Linked DNA regions of Drosophila melanogaster. The protein of the gene in region 1 interacts with the protein of each later gene in a pairwise test. Each region holds a gene or a part of one and is shown in the gene's direction. Other genes may lie near its edges. The genes, in order: CG12811, CG3386, CG7065 and CG18731.

Evidence for each region.
Region 2: the proteins of CG12811 (region 1) and CG3386 interact in a two-hybrid assay, tested with the Drosophila melanogaster proteins (one large-scale study listed by BioGRID).
Region 3: the proteins of CG12811 (region 1) and CG7065 interact in a two-hybrid assay, tested with the Drosophila melanogaster proteins (one large-scale study listed by BioGRID).
Region 4: the proteins of CG12811 (region 1) and CG18731 interact in a two-hybrid assay, tested with the Drosophila melanogaster proteins (one large-scale study listed by BioGRID).

The regions. Positions count from the first base shown.
Region 1 is NT_033777.3:10,046,709-10,050,602, reverse strand, and holds CG12811 (uncharacterized protein), read left to right. Parts: upstream 1-1,805; 5' UTR 1,806-2,066; coding exon 2,067-2,186; intron 2,187-2,659; coding exon 2,660-2,762; intron 2,763-2,833; coding exon 2,834-3,222; 3' UTR 3,223-3,351; downstream 3,352-3,894. Other genes in the region: ohgt (ohgata), read right to left, coding at 1-163, 224-863, 929-1,213, 1,286-1,307; mtTFB2 (mitochondrial transcription factor B2), read right to left, coding at 3,401-3,827, 3,889-3,894.
Region 2 is NT_037436.4:680,108-684,255, reverse strand, and holds CG3386 (uncharacterized protein), read left to right. Parts: upstream 1-1,785; 5' UTR 1,786-1,893; intron 1,894-1,936; exon of another isoform or gene 1,937-1,982; intron 1,983-2,062; 5' UTR 2,063-2,399; intron 2,400-2,469; coding exon 2,470-2,883; intron 2,884-2,945; coding exon 2,946-3,398; 3' UTR 3,399-3,594; downstream 3,595-4,148. Other genes in the region: ebd1 (earthbound 1), read left to right, coding at 1-1,190.
Region 3 is NC_004354.4:9,140,507-9,148,394, forward strand, and holds CG7065 (uncharacterized protein), read left to right. Parts: upstream 1-1,986; 5' UTR 1,987-2,280; intron 2,281-2,355; 5' UTR 2,356-2,361; coding exon 2,362-4,441; intron 4,442-5,501; coding exon 5,502-7,117; 3' UTR 7,118-7,388; downstream 7,389-7,888. Other genes in the region: fh (frataxin), read right to left, coding at 7,865-7,888.
Region 4 is NT_033777.3:29,723,357-29,726,211, forward strand, and holds CG18731 (uncharacterized protein), read left to right. Parts: upstream 1-1,670; 5' UTR 1,671-1,817; intron 1,818-1,866; exon of another isoform or gene 1,867-1,881; 5' UTR 1,882-1,898; coding exon 1,899-2,258; 3' UTR 2,259-2,334; downstream 2,335-2,855. Other genes in the region: Pcd (pterin-4a-carbinolamine dehydratase), read left to right, coding at 82-232, 491-790; Naa40 (N(alpha)-acetyltransferase 40), read right to left, coding at 846-1,083, 1,140-1,510.

The DNA.
Region 1 (3,894 bases):
CTGGAACCTGCGATACTTGTCGCGCATCGAGGGTATATCCCGAAATCTGGCCATCGAGCCCATGTCAACAGTTTGGAGCGGTTCGGGCAGGAAATACTCGGGCAATATTTTGACTTTGCTGAAGCATTTGCTAGTTGGATTGCGAGCAATGTACTGCGGTGACCTGAAAAGATATGGGATTAATCATGGAGAATTTAAGGTGATCCGTATAGTCAAGACTCACCCTTTTATATCATCGCAGTTGATGACAATGCGCTGCAGTGCTCGTGATTTGTAGAACACCAATCCTCGGCCGCTTTCGCCCCTTTCGTAGATCTGACACGTGACCCCATACAACTTGTGTGGGTTGTCCTCCGGCGGCTGCAAACGCGGGAAGCTTACACCGAAGATCAGACCGTCCAGACCGGGCATATCCTCGTCAAACATTCGGCCGTCGATCATGAAGGGAAGCACCTCGCCGGGAAAGAGGATGTGCTGGTGCAAGAAGATGAGCATGTGATGGACGCTGCCCACCTCCAAGTAGTCCACTCCGGGCACGCGACTCAAATGATTACCGAAGTATGAATGCTCCGCTGGCAGATTGGTGTCAAAGCCAATGTCGATTGGTGGTCGAGGTGGCTGCTGTGGCGGTGGATCAACGGGCTGCTCGGCAGCCTCCTGGCTCGTTTCCTCGCTTGTGCGACTGCGCCGTCGCTCCTGGCTAAAGACCATGCTACGCACTCGCTGTAGGAAGTTGTCCCCACTGAGCAGTGCAGCGATTCCACCATCCCGATTGCGGGCTTGCGAGACCATCATGTCTACGGCGGAGCGCAGTCGGTTCTGCGGAATCATCCAATGGGGCAGGCTCTCCAGATCGGAATCATCTGGAAAGGATGGAAAACGCGGGTTAAGTAGGAATGTGCAGCACAACGATTGTAAGCCAACTAACCTTCACTTCCTGGACTTTCCAGAGACATGTCACTGCTGGGATGACTGCCCTCGCTTGCTGTGTCGTCCTGCAAAACGTTCTCTACCATGGCCTCAAGTGCATCCCCTCCCTCACCATCGGTGGCCAGTGGATCTTGGAAGGCATCTTCTGCCGGCGGTGACGGCTCGTCTGGCATTGCATTGTTCCAAGCCTGTTCTATCACGTCTACCTGCCGATCCTGGAGCCCCTGTGACTGTTGGTCCTCCAATTGCACATCTTCATCCCGTGCTTGCACAGAATTGATTTCTGCGCAGTTTCATATGATGAACATATGTTATTGGGAACATTTGGCGAGTGCTATGATGCTGCCACACCCACCTGAGTTCTCCTCTTCGTCCATTTGAGCCGTACAGTGTCTTTTGTTGCTTCGTTTTGCAGGTGAATTTTATATATATTTATTTGGTTTTTATTTTGACAAAGGAAAATAAGAGATGGGAGCTTTTCGATAGTTAGCGATTGGCTAACCAGTGCTAACCAATAATGGCAACATTTTGAAAATGTTCGGTAGTTGGGCGCCAAAATAGACTCGTAATGCTTATCGTTCTATATAACAAATTATTCGATTTTCAATTTTAATTTCTGATACACTTAGTAATTTGGTAGTCCACAACTCATAGGAAGACAATATAACTAAGCATTACTTAACAAGGAGTTCTTAATCCAATATTTCAAAAGCAAACGTAAGTGTGCAGATATTTTTTTTAAGTTTTTCCCTTTTCTCTTGGCTTAAATTTATATGATCAGAAAGTTATTTTTTTCAACTCATCGATAGAAACAGCTGAGCATTGATTGAGTATTGAGCATCACTAGCAAGAGCGGATGTAATCGGGAGAGCAATATCAATTGGAACTGGCCCTTATTGGACTATGTTTTAATTTCACTTTGTTCTGCTTTTCTGGTTATTCGCACTAAACTTCCAATTGGAATATTGGAATATTTCCGAGAAAACGTAAAACAATAACATAACTGGACCCAACTAAGATCGTTATCGTTATCGAAGATCTTCGTTTCCCATTGATTAAGATTAAGTCAAGATTGGCCAGCCTCATACTTGTTTGAATTGCCGTGAGTATCACATGAACAAGTGATTATACGGACAATGATCAATCCCCAACTTTTGCTGATCGCCGCGCTTATTGCGTTTATTGGGAAAGTGGCACACGCTCAAATCGCCTTTGTTGAGGATCAAGACATTGATAAGAAGAAGGCCAACCTTGCGGTAAGCTGCAGCCAGACACAATCCACATTTGTGATAAGAAACGCCAAAATGGAAGAGAAAACCCAGCCGGAACTGGGCAACATCTTTCGCCGAATACCCTTCCCAATCAGAAGTGAAAGTCGTTGGAGTCCAATTAGGAATTTTGTGTAGTGACCAATGTTCAAAAACATTTCATGATTGCTTTGATTTTAAAACTAGCTTAAGGTTCTAGTTAAATAATTATAATAACAGACTTTTAATTGTATGGATACTGTTGAACGTGATTGAAAAATTTTTTTTTTTGTTAAAAATAAGAAATACATTTATTTTATCACTGTGGTGACTTTGAGAGTTTCAAACCTTTAAACTTCTAAAGTGTGTGTTTGAAGTGAATTTCAAAATACGGGGACTGTTTTGGTAGTGTATGCAAGCCCCATTGGCAATAATCAATCGAATTCCTGCCTCACACCCCTCCGCTTTCTCCTCATCAACAGGGTCGCAAGCCACTGTATTCGCCAGCCCGATGCCCCAAGCACCAGCTTCTTTATCCGGGGGACCAGCAGAAGCAGAACGACTGGGTTTGCGACTGCGCGCCAGGTGAGCGGTCATAATGGAGCTACCATGGCGATGACATAATAATCTCCGTATGGGTACTTCCCCTTCGATAGCCACACTGTATTACCCGGAGACCGATGGCTGCTATCCGGCCTACCGACAGGGACCCTGTGAGGCTGGACAGATTCTGGTGCTCTACAAGGAGGAGATCATCCCGAAGTGCGTACGAAATCCATGTAACAGGGACGGACACTTTATGATTCGCGACACATGCTATGAGTTCGGAAACACCAAGAAGGAAGAAAACCCGTGTCCTTACCAGGAGGCTTCCTTTGTACTTGGCGTGAATCCCACCAACTTGATGGTGGACTGTGTGAAGCTGTCCGTTCAACTGGAGACGCGTATTTCGGACACGGAGCAGGCTCCGCCGGAATACTACGTTGATTTGGCCGAGAAATGCGCACGCGGCAGTCGCCTAATGGCTCAGGGAAAGTGTCCTTAAAGGATTTTAACATTATGTGCTTAAATGTATTGTGTTCTGTTTGGTAATGTGTGGAGGCCAGTGAAGAATAGCGAATTTGTTCCATGTTTAAGACAGATATAATATGATTACATACCATTTCTCAAAATGAAGGCAATTCTTTATTTTTCTTGCACAAGCAAAACGCTATTATGTACAACTAAGAACTGGCTTTCCTGCGCCTCTTGACGGGAGTGGTGGCGGGTACAGGGCTTTCTTCTTCGATAATTTCATCTGCTTCGGCATCATCCTCTTCTGGCAACGTGACGCCATCCTCTAGGTTTGGTTCGTCATTGGCAGTCTCCAGCTTGAGCAGCGCATTTTCCAGCGAGGCGAGGAAAGAGCTCTCGCCGTACTCCGGCCACTGACGAAACTGACTAAATAGCGTCAGAATCTGACTGGGCAGGAGATCTCCGAACTGTGTGTAGATGTTGATGCCGGGATAGTAGTTTCTGGTGCTCATTGTAGTACTCTGGCACGAGTACTGTGGTAGTTTCTTGGGCAATTCATCTGGATAGATGGGTGTTACGGACTCGGAGGACTTCGGATTAATGATAAGCCGAGGTCCACAGCCGGGAACCCACTTTCTACACAAATAATAATTGAATTTATAAAAATAACCCCAGATGATTTGATTGTGTTACCTACTCTAAA
Region 2 (4,148 bases), on another chromosome or scaffold:
GACTCATCCAGAAGATGGCGCTGCAGTTCAAGAGCTCCATGAACCTGGCACATTTCTTTCCGCACCAGGAGTGGTGCGACAAGTTCAGACGCACCTACAGCATCCAACACAGCGACACCAGACTGTTGAAGATAGGCTACACGCAGGGCTACTCGGTGCAGATCAAGGACATCGTCAAGGACGTCATGTCGGAAAGCATGCCGGAAAGTGGGCCACGGAACGGCGAGGAGGATGACGAAGAGGTCAGCTTGGGCAGCCCGGTGAGCAGCCATCCCCGCAGCTATGTAGAAGACGAGGATGACGAGGTGGATGTCGACGGTGGCGGTATTAGCGGCGAGGATGATCTGGAGGAGGAGCCTGATGTCAAGCCCTCACTAAGCGAACTAAATTTTGCCAGGGCTCTGAAGCCCTTGCCGCCTCTAGTTAGACTGCCCCTCCAAGCTAACACACCGCCAGGCACCACTCAAAAAGTTCTCCTGGCCACACCCATTGTTCCGACGCAAGCGGGCGGACAGCCCATGACCATGACCATCATACCACTAGCCACGCTCGCTCAGAGCATCACCAAGATTCCTGCCCCACAGCAGCAGGACAAAGGACCGGTGGTACCGCCGCCCAAACTAGAGATCAAGCAGGAAAAGGAAATCAAAGTGGAGCCCAAGGACCCGGAAGAGCTCCTGGCGAAGCAGCCCGAGGCGGAGCTCCAGGAGAACGATGACCGAGCACAAAGGGAAAAGGATCTTGAAATTCCGCCTACAGTGCACATAAAAGTGGAGCCAGAGGCTGAGCTGGAATCGGAACTGGACCAAGACCCAGCGGATCTCGATGAAGACGCGAACAATGGTCGCTCCAGTGTCACCTCGCTGGCCGAGGTTCTGGCGGCCAATGTGGAGGACGAGATGGAGTACATCGAGCAGATGCGGCAGCGAAAGGTGAGTTCGCCTGCGGCAGTTGAAAACTCGCTGAATCCTCGCCAGGGCACCAAACGTCGCTATGAGTCCGCCCAAGACGATAACAACAATGGGGGATCCGGCCAAGAAAGTGGGTCCAGTGTCATCAGCTGCGCCGATGCACGCAAGTACCTAAAGCTACTCGAGGAGTTTGCTCTGTACAAGGAGAACTACCGGCTGATTGAGCTGATCACACGAGCCGATGAAGTGATGCGCGAAATGGATGACAATGTGCCGTAGAATGCTCCAAACAGTGAGCGCCACATGAAGGAGAACGAAGAGGAGGAGGAATAGCTGCAGCCAAAGAGTGTAATCTTTGCAAACTGATGCATCTAGAAGATGCACATCGGTCGGATGCAATCAATCATTAGATCTAAGGTGAACATAATTTGTATTCGAACCAAATAAACGCAATCAAACCAAGTTTCTAGTGAGTAAATTTGATGTGGTTATAAAATATTGTGATGAATGAGCTAATGTCAATTGTCAATTGGTCTGTTGGAACTATTTTATACTATGCTCCCGACTGTAACCCTATTATTTTGACCTGTGTTGTATGTTATAACAGCTACATTTCCTTCCACACATTCTCGCCAGAACAAAAAGTCGGCTAAATATACGCGCTAATTGTTTTTTTTTCGAAGTGCGCATGTCTGCCCTTAGTTGGGCTTCTTCTTCTTTTTTTGCCGGGCGGGAGGTCACCCACACACACACACACAGGCGAGCCAGAAGAGAGAAAGAGACAAAGCGCATGTAAATGAAAATAACGGAACAAAGAGGTCAATCATTGAATTCTATCTTGTTAAAGAGAGAATTTCCCTGATTCAGAGTGTATTTTAAAATTTTCCCTGATCAGTGTGAAATTTTGGAGAGCGAGTTAAAATAAATTCATACTTTGCTGATGATTTCCTTATGCCGACAATCTTGATTGGGGCTAAGATGGGTAAGTGCGCAGGTCTGCCCTTAGTTAAAGTCTGAATATTTGCTGCTTTCCTCTCCCGCACACACGTGCACCTAAATTGCGGGGGAGCTGTAAGTCATTGTTTAATCCATATAATTAAAACTAATACAATAAGAAAATCGGATTCAGCTACGTTTTTGTTTTCAAGCAGTATGTGGGAATCAAATGATTTATTGTGCATTTCCACACGCACACATGCACATGCCCATCGGGTCAGTCGGCTAATCAATCACTCAATCGAGACACATGCACACACACCCGCCCGTTTCGGCTCTACATCAATTCAGTTTGTGATTGTCGCTTGAGGAGAGCATAACGCCGGTCGTCAGGTGGTGGAAATAAGTTTATACATATATGAGCATCCAGATCCAGAGCAACTACAACAATCAGTGGGAGTATGTGAGGTGTTTACCAACACTAGACGCTAGAAGTGGCAACTCTGGCCAACTGTAATCAACAACAGCTGATTGGCTTGAACAACAGAAAAAGTAAATATTTATGTTTATATGCCAATGGATATGGTAATTAAATGTATCTTTCTGAATGCTGTGCTGGCAGATGGCAGCTGCACTGCCAGATCGGTTTAGTGCGGGCAAACGGCAGTTCTGGCGCGAGTTTCTGGCCCTTTATCAGGGAATGCCGGAGCTGTGGGACGTCCACCACCTCAATTACCGGAACAAGGAGCTGCGAAACCGGGCGTATGAGTTGCTGGAGAGGAAACTACGGGAGATACAGCCGAACGCTACGCGCACAGAAGTCGGCAGGCGCATCAACATATTTCGCACCAATTACAGGCGGGAGCAGATGCGAATCCTCAAGCAGAAGGAGCTGGGGCTGCACTCCGATCTCTGTAAGCCGACGCTCTGGTTCTACGACTACATGGGATTTCTCCTCACCCAGGAGACCTTCCAGCACAGGACCAGAAAAGGTCGGGGCGGCAGACAGAAGCAAGATTTTCGCAGGGAAAAGGATGTAAGATTACATTCTCAATGATTGAATGATACTTAAAAATAAATAAATTGTGTACCTCATAGGACAAATACCCCTTGAAAAATCCAGATCTCAACACGGAAAGCGTTTGTGATTGGCCGATCAAGGATGATAACGCTTTCAACTACCAGTCCGAACCGACCGCCCCGCAATCCGAAGAGGGTTCCCTGCTCAGTCCAAAATTGGAGATCATAGAGCCGGAAGAAGGGCAGTGTGAAGTCAAAGAGGAAAATAGTTTGGGAAATTCATTGGAAACGAAAGAACCCACATCCTCGATTCAAACAGATCCCGAGAACGAACGAGGAACTGCACCCATGCAACTCAGCGAGTCCTCCGAAGTTCTGGCCAGATCCTGGGCTATCCAGTACGAGGAAATGTCCCCCACGCAACGGATTCTGGCACGAAAGGCCATCGCAGACATCCTGTTTGAGGGATGCATGGGCAACCTGCGAGTAAACCGCGGCGAACAACAGAGCACCGTGGCAAATCATTTCTAAACCCTTGACTTCTACTATTACGTCATTTGATATTCCTGCATTTGTCACTCTACGATTTAATGAACATCTCATTGAAGTCTTCAAAAAAACAGAACTAAGCATACGGCTCTAAAGAAAGTTCGAAATCACTCAGGCCATAATAACGATGAACGAGGCATTGCAAACTAGAAAACTAGAATTTAAGTACTACAAATACAAAATATGAAATGTCTCTTTATACAAAAAATTTCATCCAAGTATTTAAGTTTCCCGCCAAATCATAACAGGGTTGGAAATCGACTTTCACTCAAACGAATGTTTCACTCATAAAATGTAGAGATGAGAGTCTTATGTTGTGCGAACACGAACACCCAATGGGGTAATAATTTATTAAACGTTTTCTCGGAACTCGCTCATAAAATGTCATCGATTATTTTTACGTTAAATTAAAGAGTTGTTTAAGTTTTAGGTATGTTTGGTTGTTGTTTACCTGAGCTATCGGATGTACAATCCACTATCTAATTGTCACGCACACATCTCTCCCCTAATATTTTCTATCGTATGTGGTTGAAGTGGATAAAATAAGATTCGCCGTTACCTGAATTTGGTCAAGTGCTGCGCAGGCGCTGGTCCTTAAAAACCATTTGCGCATCGATTTTGAAGGAGTAAATATCGTAGGAAAGAAAGAAACTAATGCGATCTGTGGTAGGTGTTCTATATTTGGCTACATTCTACATTCCGCTTAGACTTCTTCGAGCCATTTGACTTCTA
Region 3 (7,888 bases), on another chromosome or scaffold:
CATCTCCATCAAAGTTAATGCGAAATATCATTTGCATTCGCAGCGCGCAGATAGATCACCAAATGGGATGTCAACCAGCAGCTGTGTGCCCGATTTGCCATATTTCGCTGTCAAAAAAATAAAAAAAAAAAAAGAACAAGGGGCAATTAAGCACGAGCACGCATGCATTTCGAATGAACTATGCACTTACTGCGAATTTAAAGTCTACTTTTAGACAGCTTTTGAATAATTGGTATCATCTATCAAGCGGCATTTAATCAGATGCTTCAAAAACGTTTGTTCGAAACTGGCACATGTTCGAAATCAACCACTGAAGTGTTTCCACCCGTAATTCGATCTGGTGAATAAAATCAAATCGCCTGAATTGTTTATGTACATATGCCCACTTCAAGGGTAGCTCAACTACTGACCAAAAAAGAGAAAAAATAAAAGAAAAGTCGAACAAACGAGCCATAACTCATGTCGGCATGTTCATTAAATGTGCTACGTTTGTCCAATGCCTACTACTTGCCACATCCCACTCCCAATCCCACTACTCGTCCTCATCCTCATCCTCATCCTCGTCCTTGGCTACATCCGCATCCACATGAAGCGCAACTTCGCCCACTGTCAAATGCACCGGGGCGGCCTTCAAAAATGGGGTGGCATATACTCACACTCGCATTCGCATTCGTATTTTATTGTCTATGTGCGCATATGGTCAGCTCATTGTGCAGTCAGTTGTATTGCCATTATCATCTGCGACAGCCATATCAGTGTGCTCATCGTGCGGCGATTAATGCGCCCTTCATCCACTCCCAGGATACGTGTTACATCTATCACACATATCGCGCACAGTGCGGCCTCGCTAGAGCGGAAATTGCCAGCCATCTGGTAAGAAATTCATGGAAAGAAATTCTAGCTACATACAGGTGCTCAGTAGAAGTATGCAAGCATATACGCTAGAATTCCCTGACTTCACATTAGGGTGGTTCCACTGCACAGCCCAGGGCGGTTGGGATGTGGGCTCGGTTCGTGGAAATCGCTGAAAATGTGAAAAACCGCGTCCCGTTCGCTGACATTTGTCCTCGGCGGCCGGCAAACCGGCAAACTGCACATGTGGCCAATCCCTTGGGACCCAATGATATTAATGCTCCCGCTTCAGCTGGAAAATACCTACATACATACATACATACAGTGAATAAAAAATAATGAACGGGAGCTGGGATTGATTTAAGCCAGCTGCGGCGACGCCATCAGAAACACATCCAACATTGAACATCCCACATCGCAGAACCAATCCATAGAAGTCCATCATTCTTGCGGCGGAGGCGAGAACAATTTGCACTCGGCCGGAGATTATGTTTCGGGTGAAAGATAATGACTCCGCATATCCACACATGTAAATATTTATGGGCTCATGAGCAGAAACACAAGAAGTGTGTGTGTTTTTTTTTTTATTTTTTGCCCAAATGACGAAAGCATGTTTTCCATGTCACACTGAAGTTAGAAAATATAAGCAAATATTCGAAATAAAAATCCATTAAATATTAACGAAATATATCCCTAACCCTAAAGGCTTTAAATTTGATTATAAAATAAAAATTCTAAACGAAATCAATATTTTACCATTACCAAAATAAGATTATTTGAATCCCGCATTGAAAAAAAAAAATTTTGGCCTTATTTGCCTTATTAAATCCACAATAGAACTAAGGACAAACCACTTTCAGTTGGAAACAGTTATTTGGAATTTTATACCATTTTTAATATTTTGAATGCAACCAAACGGAAATTGGTATAAAAAATGTGAAAGCGCGTTTAGAGCCATATTTCCATTACAGCGCTCTGAAAAAAAACAACAATACTCTATGTATGGATGTAAATATTCTGTTAATAATCATAAAAAAGAATTGGTTTTTTTTTTGTTTCACTTTTAAAAGTGCTGGCAAACAATCGATATATTCAGCTATCGTTGGCGTTGTTATCGCCCGAACGACGGACGGTCACACTGGAAAGCTGGAAAAAGAAAAGAAAATTGTCAAAAAGGCTTCGACTTGGACTCAATTTTCGTAACAAGTGATCAACGAAGCTGGTGGATGTCAAAGACGTAGATAAATAATCTAAATTACCTAACGCAGCCATAGTAAGTAACGATAAGCACGCGGGCATAAGCCGCCCCCTTTTGTCGATAAGTGAACGCGAATGCGAAACATTCGTGTGCGCAAAAAAGTGAACAAGAAAATTGGAAAATCAGAAGGCTTCGCTTTGATACGGAAATAAAGTGAGAGACAGACCAAGGTAAGTACTGATCCTAGACCATTTTCGTTCATTGGCGTTCTCTTCTTTTGGCCTGATGCCCATACCCATCTGCAGGAAACGATGAGCTTCCTGCCGGGCGAGCCGGTACCGCCCGGTTTCGAGGAGGACGTGTCCCGCACGGCGGTCATTCAAAAGCAGATCGAGAGCTACACAGCCGGACCACTGATCGGCACCGAATACACCATCGAGCTGCACGAGCCGGCCCAACTGCGTCCGAATTACTTCTGTGTGCTCTGCCAAACGTGCTCGGATGGACGCAACGTCTTTGTGCACTGGACATCGCAGGCGCACCGCACCAAGTACCTGCAAACCCATTTCCAGAAGGCCTACAAGGAGCTGCAAAAGCTAAAGCGCACGCCCAACAGCTCTGGGGATCTGGTGACTGCCACTGGGAATTTGGTCAAGTGCATTGAGAAGCATTTCGGCAGGTCACGCAATCTAATAACTGCAACTGGTGATGATTTTCGCCGTTATCGCTCCAAAATGTGCAGTCAGGTGCGGGATAGCTTTCATTTCGATGAGTGTGCCGGATCAGATTTTTCCGAAGAAGCTCAGCGCGTGATCCGCGAACTCAAACCGGATGAGTCCATCAAGAGCAGCATGAAGAAGAACGTCGACGGAACCGGGGATAGCAACAAGCAGCATGATGATGGAAATATAATTGCCTTGGATGCCATATCCAGTGATGATGAGAGCTTTGGCGGTTCAACAGCTTCGGTTGTCCCGGTGCCAAAGGGGCGACAGAAGAATAATCTGTCGGAAGATGCCGGCGGGCGTAGTAAAAATCAATCGCCACCACCTGCAGGTGGCGTGAACAAAACGCAGCATTTGCCCACGCCCAAGGAGCTGGCCATTCAGGCATCTAAAATTTCCCAGGAGCGCTACAAGTGGGAGAAGTTCCGTTGCATGCTGGAAATACAGCTCAAGCAGCTGCGCAGTGATACAGAGATGTACGAATCAAATCCCGAGAAACATCCCGATTATCCGGATGAGTGGAAACAGTTCTGGAATCGACGCTACAAGCAGCTGCAGGAGGAGAAGAAATGCGATCCGAATCAATACGACTATAAGCCGGAGTGGATTAGCTACTGGAAAGATCGTCGCATCGTACTGTTCGACATTGCGGTGAATAAAATAAAGAAAGATCTCAAAGAGAAGTTCAAGCTGGGCGACGAGGACGAAGAGAAGACCTTGGAGCTAATGGAGCGCTACAAGATCCGTGTGGCCAGTCCGCGTAGAGCGCCTGCCACCACCAATTCCGACAATTGTCGCAAAACGAAGCCGAATTTTCGCAACAATCGTCCGATTGTTGCGACAAGCAAACTACCCGACGCCGTCATCGATATCAGCGATGATGATGTTGATAGTCCTCCATCTCGTAGTCGTCACTCCCACAAACGCCGCTCCATCTCTCGTTCGTTGTCCCCCAAGCGCGGCGGACGTCGTGCCGTGCGTCGCTCACGCAGTCGTTCGCCGCGTCGCAGCTATAATCGAGGATCTACGCGCTCGCGTTCGCGCAGCATGCGACACCGGTCTCGCTCGCCGGCCCACTATCGTGGCCGCGGTCGTGGTCGTGAACCAGCATCCAAAGAGCGCGGCTCGTCGTCCAGGGATTTCGGTGGTCGTCACAGTTTGCAGCGTGAGCGCGAACGCTCTTCCGAGTACTATCACCGCAACGAGGGCTATGCTCGATCATCGCGCGGCTATGAGTCTGTGGAGACGTTCCGCGTGCTGGATTCCCGCGTATATCCCGAGTACAAAGTGACCAAGACGAGCTCGATTTCGCCCACCGCTTCGTCCAACAAGGAGAAGGAGAAGGAGGCATCGGAGCCCATTGAGGAGGGACCACTGACTGTCGTTAGTGTCTTGCGCATGCTGTCCGCCGTCGAGGAGCATCTGGGCAGCCTGGGACCCAAGGCGCTCAATTTGCTTAGCAAGGCACTGGCCATGGAGTTGGTAAAGCCAAATGCAGCTGAAGATTTGCTGCGAAACGAAGACAACTGTGTGTTCCTCGAGACCACAAAGGAGAAGCTTAAGGGCATTCTCATTGCCGAGGTACTGGACGATCCGCAAAAGGTGCGCGTGATCAAGAAACTAATCACGAACATAGCCGAAATCATCTATCAGGCGACCTTCAAAGGTAAGTCCACCACCAAACCCGCTCAATCCGTATCCGTCTCTCTCGCTCTTTTTCGCGGTCGCGGTTAGAAATCAGGAGGTAAGTAAACCAAACAAATCAAATCAAAAAAAGGGTTACCCATCGGAACAATCGTTCGTTTTTCGCGCGTTTTCAACGGCTTTTTATGCAAAGTTGCAGAGTTTATTGTGAGTTTTGTGCCATTCGGTGGAATACCTTTAGATTCTTCATTCGAAATATTTCTATTCTCCTTTTTCGAAAGGAACCTTTTTTATGTGCTGGTGATAAAGAAATATATACATATGTACATTAGATACTCCCCACTTTAGTCTACTAAACTCTGCGGTTAAACATTTAGTTACGTTTTAAGTTTAGCACCTTATGAAATAAAGAATCTTTGACTTTGGCTGTTGTATGAATTGGGATCACAATCTCATTTCACATTTCTTCTTTCTCACTAAAACATAAACGAAATCTTCTGAGCGAGTATTTTTGAAATAATACAAAATAGCGCTGTGTTTTATTACCATTTTAAACAATATTATAAGTATACATATATATATATAAAGCGTGTTCTGAATTGCTGGTCTTGTCTCTGCAATTCGTAGGATTTTTCGAATTTAAGAAACCTATTTTTAAGACCTTTACTTTGGGTTCAAAAAGGGTTAAATTGATATTAAAAAGACCTGCTTGCAATGAGAAACATAAATGGTCATAAGGTCTTCCTTCTATGTTGTATTTATGATAATATAGTAATTATATCGTATATTTGGATAGACTCTTTGGTCGAATCGCTGGTGATATCGTTCCTAATCGTTTTTCGGTAAGCTTTCCCTTATTTTTGCTGGGTGTGTGAATCAAGTGTAAAGAAACCAACCGTGAGCTGTCCAATCGCCATCCACACCATCCATAAGTATAAATGTAATTTGCGTAGCTTCGTGCGATAACGATCCTCCATCTGCCGGGATCTGAAACAGAAACACACTCTCACCTGTTAATCCTAACTGATTGATTTCTTTGTGTTGTTCCCTCCCCAAACCACCCGTAACCGGATGATCTCTAGGTACCAACGATGCCGTCGATGTCAAGGTTAAGGCAAATGCCAATCCGGCGCCCATACAGCTGCCCTTCGATCGCAATTTGGTGGCGCCCAAATTGGCCAATGCTTTGGTACTCAACGGCTACAATAATGTGTCCACCGGCGATATGAACAACTTGCTACACATGCTAACGCTGCTGATGAAGACGGACAAACAGCGGCGCCAGCTGGACAACAACAACGGCCTGAAATTCGAGGAGATAAAGGTAAAGCTCGGACTGCAAAATAATCCGTCGCCCGATGACATGGGCATCGATCTGGACGAGCTGATGAAGGAGGTGGAGCATCAGCTGCACAAGGAGTCCGTCGATATTGTGAATAAACCTACGGGAGCACCGGCCAAGGTACAAGCCGCCGATACAGTCGGTGGCAGCACTGGCTTGGAATCGCTAACAGATTCAGATCTCCAGACCCTACTCCAGAACTTTAAGTTTTTGTCGAACGAGGAGCAGGTTCATCTCATTGGCCATCTGCGCAAGTTGGAGGTACAGGATCCGTCGCGCGTCGATCGTCTGCGCAAGTATGTGAATCTGGTGGAGCTCCGAGGCGATGGCGAGTCCTGCAGTGATTTCCTGGCGCGCGTGGTGAAAATTGGTGGGGCTAGCAAGGCGAAACCGGCTACCAAGTTCAAGGCTTCGGTTATGGGTGGTAGAACCTCCTCCGCCATGGCCGCCAGCTCCGCCAGTGCCACGGCTCCGAAAGTGGGTCACTCCATGCTGAGCGCTCAGCGCCCCAATTTGGATCGTGATATGTCCAGTATGCCCATCAATAAGCAGAGACGCGGCCGGAACACGCCCAGTATCATGCTCGATGACGATGACGAGGAAGATGATGATTACAACTTTGATGATTTGGTGATGAAGGCCTGCGATTCGAATGGAAGTGCTAGTGCTGGTGGTGGTGGTGGTGTCGTTGGTGCTGGTGTACACAATAAGCCAGGAGTGCCGCCCATTATAGGCGTTGAATCATCGCCAAATGCGCTCACTTTCAAGCCAGCAGCAGCGACCAAGATTTCGCTAAAAGACACCGAGAACATCATAGCCAATCTAATGGGCACTTTAAGCAAGAATGGCACTTCTGGAGGTTCACCCGTGGGTGGCAATCGCAACTATATGATGAACCAGCAGCATGGAGCGCCAAATGCGCAGAATGCACCGAATTTGGGTCAGAATCCAGGCCAAAATCTTGGCCAAAAGCAGCCCGGAGCGGGCTATTCCAATGCGGGCTATCCAGGGCAACAGCAGCAGCAGCAGCAGCAGCAGCAGCATGGCCGCAACTTTGGCCAGGAGGCACAGCCACTGATGAGCGGCTTGAGCGGCGGACCGAATGCCAATCACTATCCAAATCAGCAGGGCTACGGCGGCTATCATCCGTTTGCGGGCAATGGCGTGCAGCAGAACTACGGCGGCATGGTGCCACCAGGTCCAGGTGGCTACGTGGGTCCGCCCCCTAATCCGTGGGCCAGCAATGTGCCGCCACAGCCGCCCTTCAACCAGATGCCCCAGAACTTTATGGGTGCCCAGCAGCAGCAGCAGCAGCAGCAGCCGCACTTTAACAACATGTTCGGTGGACGTCACTAGAGTGTCGTAGACTTAGATATCCATACTATTAACGTTATGCAATTTAAACGTAATGTAGAAACGAGAATAACGCCCTTTGAAGTGCCCGTGTATCTGCTAGCTGGCAAGTGATTTTTATTATTTTTTTTTTTACCATACATGTGTGCTGCTGCCAAAAAAAAGAAAAGAAAATAATCACTACCTTCATTTGTTTATAAAACACCGAACAACAATAGAATTCAGAAAACATAAATCTGAAGAGCACGTGAATAAACATACACAATAATTCCGGAAATCAACTTTAATCGACTTTCGTTTGGAATTATTAGCTGGGGGAGCTTTGAGTTCTGAATTCTGTGTATTGAAATAAAAATAAACGAAATGGAACGTACAAGTGACAAATAATAAAATAAAATAAAATATGTATAGCTACATATGATGTTCTTCAATGGTGATTTGATTATTATTATTTGATTTATACATTAAACAACTGATTTTTAAGTTTATTCCTCTCAAAAACAACAAATTTAAACTTCGAAACCAAAACTAATCGTACATAAATGAATAAGCGAATGCAAAGCATTTATACCAGAAGCTAAGCTTCACAGCTCCAGGGAAGTATAAGTATATACCTTTGCTCATCCGCAGCAGCAGCAGTTCCATGTATATCGAGTGACCACTGTGCCAACAGATGAAGAACAATAAATATATCAAAATCGAACGTTTCAACCGACTTTTTATGGAGGAGAATTTAAACTAATCACGGAATTAACTACAGTAGGGCAGGCGTAG
Region 4 (2,855 bases), about 20 Mb from region 1:
GTATTCAAAAGGTGGAATGTGCGGAAGGGGAGGGAGGGGCAAAAATACCAAACTTAAATCTGAGCTTTATTTTTCGCGCAGCCTGTCGCAAATCTCAGTTCTGTATTCGCCAGCAGCGAGAGAAGCAGCACGGGCAGCAACTGGTGGCAGTGCGAATCTCCGGAGAATCCACAACACCCCAACCACAGAAGCAACAGCAACCGCAATCACAGCGAAAAAGCGCAAAATGGTGGTAAGTACGAGCCGAAAGTGAGTTTGAGATCAAGGTGAACGGAGTCTCAGCGAAATCGAGTGGTTCCCTTATCGCCTCCAACTGAAATCAATCGACCACCCAAGGACAGGTTTGGACTTTCGGAAAGTGCTTTATGCCCTAACAAATAGAATCACTGTGATTTTGGCCAGAAATGGAGGTTTTTCGCTCACAAATTATTTTGTATATATATCGTATGAATCAATAACACTCACATACTTGTTGCTCGCTGCCCTTTAGGTACGACTAAACGAACAGGAACGCGCCGAGAAGCTGCAGCCCCTCCTGGACGCCGGCTGGACTTTGGTGGAGGGGCGCGACGCCATCTTCAAGCAGTTCGTGCTGAAGGACTTCAACCAGGCCTTCAGCTTCATGACGGGCGTGGCATTGCTGGCCGAGAAGATCAACCACCATCCCGAGTGGTTCAACTGCTACAACAAGGTGGACGTGACCCTGTCCACGCACGACGTGGGCGGTCTCAGTTCGCAGGACATTCGCATGGCCACGCACTTGGAGACCACGGCCAATTTGTTGAAATAAACGCATTGTTATACTAGTTGCTAAATATCTATAATCTTCGGTGTCCAATAAATACTCAGCTTAGCATCGATTTGCTAAAGATTTGGTAGTCGGCTTGTTCCAGGACATCTGGCGAGATCTCGTCCTTGACGTAGCCCAGTTGCTTGAAGAAGGAAATGGAGGCTTCGTTGTTGTTGAGAACGGTCAGCATGACCTTTTCCAGATGCCACAGGCGAGCGCAGTCCTCCAAAGTGCTCATGATGAACTTTCCCAGGCCTTTTCTACGATACTCTGCAGCCACTTGCATTTCGTAACTGAAAGGAAGTTCTACGTAATTAATGCATAAGGGCTTTACTTATGGAATACCCACCAATACAGGACACAGTCCCCGTGATCCATGTCGAAGCGGAACATTGCGTAGGCCACGTTCTCCTTCTTTTCGTTCTGGGCCACCAAGTAGCGAGCCCAGTTCTTGTTCAGCTCGGCGGCTTTGATCTTGGGCTGCCAGCCCATCTTGAGTTGCTTGTAATAGGGTCCCACGTTCGTCTCGGCCAGCTTAAAGGCCCATTTCAGCAGTTTGGAGTCCGCATCCGACTTCGCTCGGCAGATGAGTTTGAATTCCTCTCCGCTGGGGGCTTTGTAGCTTTGGTAGCTCAGAGATTCGAGGGGATTCTTGGCCCTGGCAGCCGTCTCCACAAATCTCTGTTTGGCGCCCTGACTTAGATCGTCCTGATTCCGCATTGTTTGCTTAAAATTTTGTAAAAATGGCAATTCGACTAAAAATATGCCGCGCAAATTAGGGATGGCACACAGTGGTAAACAAACTATTATTGCTTATATAGAGACTGCTATCGATTACACAGATTAACTTTAATTGGTATTTTTGAAATAATAATTACTGGCCACTTCATTATTTACCACTGTTTTGTAAACAATTGCAGAAAATTTATTGAATTCCATTTTACGGCTTATATACGGGTTTTAGACTAAATTGTTAGTACGATAATTAACCTTAATATCACTAAGACTACGAGACTCGATACATCAGGTAACCCCACATATTGAATCCCCAATTCAACAAGTGCTGACGTTTCCAGTTCTCTAAATTGTAGTTTCAAGGAAACAGACGATGTTTAGGAAGTCCAGGCCCAAAGTAGAGCCTCCACCCACGGCTCCCAGTGTAGAGGAAATGCTGGCGGACATGGAAACGTTCGAGGTCAATCAGCCTACGATAAGCGGATCTACAGACAACTTGGACTTGGAGCACGCTTTCATGACTGAACCAGAGAATCTTCCCCTTTCAACATGGTGGCAGATGTTCGACGAGTACGATCAGAAGGTGAAGAAACTGTCGGCCACCGTGGGAGATCTGGAGACCCAACGAAATCAGTTAAAAGAATGCTATGCGAAGCTGGAAAATAACGCGGATAAACTGAGAACGGACATCCAAAAGCAGCAGGCACTGGTCAAAGAAGCCCTTAAATGTTAATCTATCATTAAGCTACCTTATCTTAAACTATTGTTGAATGCACGAGCGGGTAACAAGTAAAACCTAAAAACTCCACAATCTTGAGAATATTCACTTTAGGCCCACTGCACTGTGGTTCGAGTCCCGGCTAGAACTTCAGCTCAAAGTACGTTTGCGGTATATTTTTCAACCGCGAGGTGTATTTTTCTGAGCCTGACATTTTAACGGTCAATGCGCGGTGTGGTCACACTGCTTGGTGGATGGTAAGGTGGTCGAAAAAAGTTGTTAAAAGCGCAGAAAAAGCAATTGTAATGCAATTGCTCCAGTGACTGTGAAAAGTAAGCAGCCAAGCAAATAAGTTAATCAAAACATAGATCAACAGATCAGAAAGTCCTAAAACGGCACGATTAGTCGTGAAATTCGCTCGGTTTAGGCCTGGATGATTGGGCAGAAGAACAGGTTTTAGGCCGTGGCAACAACGAAAAAAAAAAAAAAATAGAAAAAAAAACCTGCGACTGGCTTATACCATTTACGCCATTAACGGAGGTCGATGGTTATCCCTGTGTGTGTGTGGTGTGTGTTTGGTCCAATATATTTGGCTAAATTCCGCAAATCCAA